2 linked regions of the Saccharomyces cerevisiae S288C genome follow. Changing the gene in region 1 together with any one later gene gives a genetic interaction. Each region holds a gene or a part of one and is shown in the gene's direction. Other genes may lie near its edges.

What was found.
Region 2: mutations in AMS1 (region 1) and YBR298C-A together harm fitness more than expected from each alone (negative genetic interaction), as found in Saccharomyces cerevisiae (one large-scale study listed by BioGRID).

The regions. Positions count from the first base shown.
Region 1 is NC_001139.9:208,729-214,220, forward strand, and holds AMS1 (alpha-mannosidase), read left to right. Parts: upstream 1-1,687; coding exon 1,688-4,939; downstream 4,940-5,492. Other genes in the region: carbonyl reductase (NADPH-dependent) ARI1, read left to right, coding at 278-1,321; protein geranylgeranyltransferase type I subunit CDC43, read left to right, coding at 5,353-5,492. UniProt on the Saccharomyces cerevisiae protein: Degrades free oligosaccharides in the vacuole.
Region 2 is NC_001134.8:804,535-806,929, reverse strand, and holds YBR298C-A (uncharacterized protein), read left to right. Parts: upstream 1-1,673; coding exon 1,674-1,895; downstream 1,896-2,395. Other genes in the region: alpha-glucosidase MAL32, read right to left, coding at 1-1,579.

The DNA.
Region 1 (5,492 bases):
TCATCAATTTGTTAAGATCGGCTTCGCTCTATAAAAATGTCGGCCGAAATTAGCATAGGATTTTCCGCGGTTCCGACCCCTATCCTAGAAACACGGAAAAACTTGCGAATAATTCCGGAATTTATTCTATGCAACTTTATGAAGACAAATTACTATAAATGAACCGCTCATTCAGAAAAACTATGTCTCGAGCTCAATGGATCTTACTACATAGTTTATAAAAACAGTAATTGTGCATTGTACAACTGTGCTAAACAGACTTAAAAAAGTAATAATTATGACTACTGATACCACTGTTTTCGTTTCTGGCGCAACCGGTTTCATTGCTCTACACATTATGAACGATCTGTTGAAAGCTGGCTATACAGTCATCGGCTCAGGTAGATCTCAAGAAAAAAATGATGGCTTGCTCAAAAAATTTAATAACAATCCCAAACTATCGATGGAAATTGTGGAAGATATTGCTGCTCCAAACGCCTTTGATGAAGTTTTCAAAAAACATGGTAAGGAAATTAAGATTGTGCTACACACTGCCTCCCCATTCCATTTTGAAACTACCAATTTTGAAAAGGATTTACTAACCCCTGCAGTGAACGGTACAAAATCTATCTTGGAAGCGATTAAAAAATATGCTGCAGACACTGTTGAAAAAGTTATTGTTACTTCGTCTACTGCTGCTCTGGTGACACCTACAGACATGAACAAAGGAGATTTGGTGATCACGGAGGAGAGTTGGAATAAGGATACATGGGACAGTTGTCAAGCCAACGCCGTTGCCGCATATTGTGGCTCGAAAAAGTTTGCTGAAAAAACTGCTTGGGAATTTCTTAAAGAAAACAAGTCTAGTGTCAAATTCACACTATCCACTATCAATCCGGGATTCGTTTTTGGTCCTCAAATGTTTGCAGATTCGCTAAAACATGGCATAAATACCTCCTCAGGGATCGTATCTGAGTTAATTCATTCCAAGGTAGGTGGAGAATTTTATAATTACTGTGGCCCATTTATTGACGTGCGTGACGTTTCTAAAGCCCACCTAGTTGCAATTGAAAAACCAGAATGTACCGGCCAAAGATTAGTATTGAGTGAAGGTTTATTCTGCTGTCAAGAAATCGTTGACATCTTGAACGAGGAATTCCCTCAATTAAAGGGCAAGATAGCTACAGGTGAACCTGCGACCGGTCCAAGCTTTTTAGAAAAAAACTCTTGCAAGTTTGACAATTCTAAGACAAAAAAACTACTGGGATTCCAGTTTTACAATTTAAAGGATTGCATAGTTGACACCGCGGCGCAAATGTTAGAAGTTCAAAATGAAGCCTAAGTATCACGCTAATTGAAGTTTTTTTTGATCACTCCAATAGGCAAATCTATAGATATATAAAAAATATAGACAAGACTTTTTTTTACATTGCCAGTTTTCTTTTTTCCTTTTTAGTATCTATTCAAATGGGCGACCCTATTGTCTAATTTCATTAGCTTCATCACAAAAAGTGCCACGAATTCATATAGCGCGAGGGTAATCCCTACCCTAACTCGTTTAAGGGAGACATAGAATGAACTCCGCCATCATGTGCTCAAGACTAGACGAAGCTATATTAGAAGGACAGGAGGAGGTTTTATTTTAACCAGTTACTTCATTTCTAATATAGAGATTAAGGCTGCAAAAGAGTTTCAAAAATAATTAATTATGTCATCTGAGGATATCATTTATGATCCTCAGTTCAAACCTGTTCAGGGAATCTACGAGAATAGATTAAGACAATTTATTGATACTGGTGGGGATTACCATGACTTAAATTTACCCAAGTTTTATGATAAGAAGCGCATTTCATTAGATCATGATCACGTTAAGGTTTGGTGGTACCAGGTTTCTTTTGAACGTGGATCTTCCCCTGTTTCCCCTGATAAGAGGCCATCTTGGAAATCTATTATTGAACGTGACAAGAAGGGTGAATTGGAGTTTAGAGAAGCGAACATAAATCAGCCCTTTGGACCCAGTTGGTCTACCACTTGGTTCAAGGTGAAAATCTCTTTGCCTGAAGATTGGGTTAAATCAAACGAGCAACTACTTTTCCAATGGGATTGTTCTAACGAAGGAATTGTCATAGACCCAAAGACTCTAATCCCTGTGACTGCTTTTTCAGGTGGTGAAAGGACTGAATATGTTTTACCGAAAACATCGGATGGGAAACATTTCTTTTACATCGAAGCTGGTAATAATGGTATGTTTGGCTGCGGTGCAGGATCCACTATAAATCCACCAGATGATAATAGATTTTTTCATTTGAGAAAAGCTGATATCGTTTGGCCCGATCTAGATGCTCGTGCATTGTATATCGATTTTTGGATGCTAGGGGATGCTGCAAGAGAGCTACCTGGAGACTCCTGGCAAAAACACCAGGCAAGACAACTAGGCAATGCAGTTATGAATCTTTTTGACCCGAATGATCGTTCAAGTGTTCGTAAATGTCGTGAATTACTACAAAGGGAATACTTTGACTCCTTTTTAGAAAGCAGTAAGGTTTACGAACAAGGTGAATCTCAAGTTTTAACAAATGTTTATGGTATCGGCAACTGTCATATAGATACAGCTTGGCTATGGCCATTCGCAGAAACAAGAAGGAAAATTGTGAGATCTTGGTCTTCCCAATGTACTTTAATGGATCGCTTCCCAGAGTATAAATTTGTTGCTTCACAAGCCCAACAATTTAAATGGTTATTAGAAGATCATCCCGAATTTTTCAATAAAGTGTTAATTCCAAAAATTCAGCAATCTCAGTTTTTTGCTGTTGGTGGTACATGGGTTGAGAATGATACCAATATTCCCTCAGGGGAATCGCTGGCAAGGCAATTCTTTTTTGGTCAAAGGTTTTTCTTGAAGCATTTTGGTCTCAAGTCAAAGATATTTTGGTTACCTGACACCTTTGGTTATTCTTCGCAAATGCCACAACTTTGCCGCTTATCTGGTATTGATAAATTTTTGACTCAAAAGCTTTCCTGGAATAACATCAACAGTTTTCCGCATAGCACGTTTAACTGGGCAGGGATTGACGGTTCTCAATTATTGACTCACATGCCTCCTGGTAATACGTATACAGCAGATTCACACTTCGGTGATGTTTTGCGTACTGCCAAGCAGAATAAGACACCAGAATATTACGGCTCCGGTTTAATGTTGTACGGAAAGGGTGATGGTGGTGGAGGACCAACTGAGGAAATGCTGCAAAAAATGAGGCGTATTAGATCCATGAATAACAGAAATGGTAATGTTATTCCAAAGTTACAAGTTGGTATAACGGTTGATGAATTTTATGATGACATTTTGAAAAGGACTAACCAAGGCCATGATTTACCCACATGGAGTGGTGAATTGTATTTCGAATTTCATAGGGGGACATACACCAGTCAAGCTCAGACCAAAAAATTAATGAGGTTGTCCGAAATTAAACTACATGATTTGGAATGGATAGCTGCCAAAACATCAGTTTTATATCCCGATTCGTATAAATACCCTTCCAAACAGATTAACGAACTTTGGGAGAATGTTTTGTTATGTCAATTTCACGATGTTCTACCAGGATCATGTATTGAAATGGTATATAAGTATGAGGCTGTCCCTATGTTGCACAACGTTGTGAAAGAATGTACTTCCTTAATAGACAAAACCGTTCAATTTCTTCAGAGTCAGAGTAAGGCAGATTTGGTTGAGATGAGAACATTAACTTGGTCAAAACCAGAAAAGGTTTCTGAGGAGTGCTCGTTGAACGGTAGTTACACGTCCTCTGTAACCGGGTACGATGACTATATAGTCCTTGCCAATGGGAAGTTGAAAGTTATCATTTGCAAAAAGACTGGGGTGATCACAAGCATTACGGATGAAACTTTGGGGGTAGAATACCTGGACACGGAACATGGCAGAAACAAATTGGGCGCCAACCAGTTTGTTATTTATGATGATAAACCTTTGGGCTGGCAGGCTTGGGATACTGAACTTTATTCCGTCAACCAATACAAGTATGTAACAAAGCCGAAGAAAGTTCAAGTTTCCTGCAACACAAAAGAGAAATGTGCTGTTGAGGTCATTTTTCAAATTTCCGAAAAATGCAAAATCAAATCAGTGATATCACTCAATGCAACTGCGGTCACTGATGCTAAATTAAGTAAAGTAGACATTTCTACGACGGTAGAAAACTGGGATGCTAGAAACAAATTTTTAAAAGTTGAATTTCCCGTTAATATTCGGAACGATTTTGCTTCGTATGAAACTCAATTCGGGATTACCAAAAGACCAACACATTATAATACCTCATGGGACGTCGCTAAATTTGAGGTTTGCCATCACAAATTTGCTGATTATTCTGAATACAGCAAGGGTGTTTCAATTTTGAACGATTGCAAATATGGGTTTTCCACACACGGTAACTTGATGAGATTATCATTATTAAGGTCACCAAAGGCTCCGGATGCGCATGCTGATATGGGTACTCATGAGATAAAATATGCTATCTATCCACATAGAGGAGCACTATCAAGCGACACTGTTAAGCTCGCTCACGAATTCAATTATTGCTTCAAATACAAACTCCCCAAAGATATTGGCATGAATTTTGATGACATCATAAGCATTTCCGGAGATGAGAATGTCATTTTGTCTAACATAAAAAGAGGCGAAGATGATAGTGCTGTCAAGTCCAACTATTCATTAAATCCAAGGGATGAACAAAGTATTGTGGTAAGGGTTTACGAATCTCTTGGCGGGGAATCTTTTGCTTCACTAAATACCACACTAAATTTGAAGCGTATTGAGAAGGTCGATAACTTGGAGATGAAAGTTTATAAGAGTTTGACAGCAACGCGAGACGAATCAAATCATGCAATAAACAGAATTCCCATTAAATTGAGACCTTTTGAGATTGCCTCATTCAGGTTGTATTTCTGAGTTTGTCTCCCTCACTGTTTTTTACATTCACTCACTCCCAAACTTATGCCATTTCTATCATGATAACCAAAAATAGTCTTAACAAAATACATATAAGTAAATAATGCTAAATAAAAAAGCAAAAAAATAAAATTTATATCACACTTGTAAAACCTTTAAATGATCTTCTTTTTTACCTGTTTTATTCACTTGTTTTTTTTTTTCTGAGTTGTTGCGCCTTGGAAGAATGGAAAAGCAATAGTTTCAGTGACTATAGTATACAATCAAAACACCCGCCAGTTCAAAACTATTACTTGGTCACTAACCCCCAAGTCATCTCTAGCAATTTAAATTTCAATTTTAAGAAAACCTTTATTTATCCAACGTGAACAAGTACTTTCAAGCACTTCTGCCCACCGCTATATCGTGGAAAAATGTGTCAAGCTACCAATGGCCCGAGTAGAGTTGTGACTAAAAAGCATAGGAAATTTTTCGAAAGACATCTACAGTTGCTTCCCTCTTCACATCAGGGACATGACGTGAACAGAATGGCGATAATATTCTACTCAATCTC
Region 2 (2,395 bases), on another chromosome or scaffold:
TAGTGAAGCTAAAGATCTGGTCACTGTCTAAATCAATGAATTGGAAATCGTAACCATAAATCATAAGTTCCTTATATTTCTTTCTGGCTTGCAAGGCCCTTTTCCAAAAATTGAGAACTGAGTCATCATCTCTGGATTCCTGCTCAACATTGATTCCTTGCTCAAAAGATTCATTCAAGAAAAACCAAGGTTTAACATCTGGGCCAGTAAATCCAGCATTGGGCTTATCTTTCGTCCATGGCATGGGAGTTCTCGAATGATCTCTAGAAAGTAGGGCGATTCCTTTAAAAAAATCCTTCATTTCCTTCGAGTTTTTACCAAAACTTTTTTTGATAATCTCGTAGTTGTTTTTCACATCAACGTCCTCATACTTTTCAATAGGCCATTCCTTGAAATTGATCTGGCCTATCTCCTGACCTTGATAGACATACAACGTACCTGTCAATGAACATTCTAGCAATGTTAACAGCTTACCAGATATTTTACGGTACTTTGGCGAATCGTCAGCAAATCTCGTAATTGACCGGGCTTGATCGTGATTCTCGATGTAGGTGGTAGCCCAACTATCAGTACCGTTAATGAACAAAAAGTTCGATGCAATGGCTTCTTTCCATTGTTTCAAGGTGAAGGGCACTATGTTATAACGGAAAAATGGCGAGGTACCAAGTTCAACGTGCGTGAAGGAGAAAACTTCGCTGACTTCGTATCTAGCTGCACTGGTGTATAAAGCATTATCACTTCCATGGGCAACTTCACCGACTGTCATTATTTCTCTACCATCTTTCACCCTGTTTTTCATAAATCTGTGTAGTTCTTGATGATATTCATGAATCCTAGGACCATTGTGAGACCCCCAATTTGGATGTTGTAATTTCGAGGTTTTGTCAAAAATTGGGGAATCTGGTAAACCAGGACGTTTCGAATACAAACCAGCGGTATCGATTCTAAAACCATCTACACCATGGTCCAGCCAAAATCCAACAGCACTTTCAAAGATTGCCCTTCTGCAGTCTTCATTCTCCCAATTCAAGTCAACTTGACGACTCGCAAACAAACGGAGGTAAAATTCATTTGTAGTTTCATCAAAAGTCCAAGCTGAACCACCAAAGAAAGATTTCCAATTGTTTGGAGGAATTGGCTTGCCTTCGGCGTCATAACCTTTAGGAGGTCTCCAGAAGAACCAGTCACGCTTCGGATTGGTCTTCGAGGATCTGCTCTCTTTGAACCATTCGTGTTCTGTAGAACAGTGGTTGATAACCAAATCGGTGATGAATTTCATACCCAGCTTATGAGTCTTGTCAATTAGCTCAAAACAGTCCTCGTTGGTACCGTATGTGGGCCAGACCTTTTCGTAGTTAGATATATCATACCCCATATCTTGTTGAGGAGAGTCATAAAACGGACAAACCCAAATAGCATCAACGCCAAGATCTTTAATATACTGCAACTTGGAAGTGATACCTTTTAAATCACCCCAGCCATCGTTATTGGAGTCTTTAAAACTTGCTGGGTAAATTTGATAGATTGTGGCCTCTTTCCACCACTTTGGTTCTGTTTCTGGATGATCAGAAATAGTCATTTATGTATTTTAGTTACGCTTGACTGATGTACATTTGAGATTATCAAAAAAACTGCTTAAGAGATAGATGGTTTAATTTTTTAGAGACGTATTAATGGAACTTTTTATACCTTGCCCAGAGCGCCTCAAGAAAATGATGCTGAAAGAAGAATTGAGGAAGGAACTACTCATCTTACGTTGTTTGTATCATCCCACGATCCAAATCATGTTACCTACGTTAGGTACGCTAGGAACTGAAAAAAGAAAAGAAAAGTATGCGTTATCACTCTTCGAGCCAATTCTTAATTGTGTGGGGTCCGCGAAAACTTCCGGATAAATCCTGTAAACTTAAACTTAAACCCCGTGTTTAGCGAAATTTTCAACGAAGCGCGCAATAAGGAGAAATATTATATAAAAGCGAGAGTTTAAGCGAGGTTGCAAGAATCTCTACGGTACAGATGCAACTTACTATAGCCAAGGTCTATTCGTATTGGTATCCAAGCAGTGAAGCTACTCAGGGGAAAACATATTTTCAGAGATCAAAGTTATGTCAGTCTCTTTTTCATGTGTAACTTAACGTTTGTGCAGGTATCATACCGGCCTCCACATAATTTTTGTGGGGAAGACGTTGTTGTAGCAGTCTCCTTATACTCTCCAACAGGTGTTTAAAGACTTCTTCAGGCCTCATAGTCTACATCTGGAGACAACATTAGATAGAAGTTTCCACAGAGGCAGCTTTCAATATACTTTCGGCTGTGTACATTTCATCCTGAGTGAGCGCATATTGCATAAGTACTCAGTATATAAAGAGACACAATATACTCCATACTTGTTGTG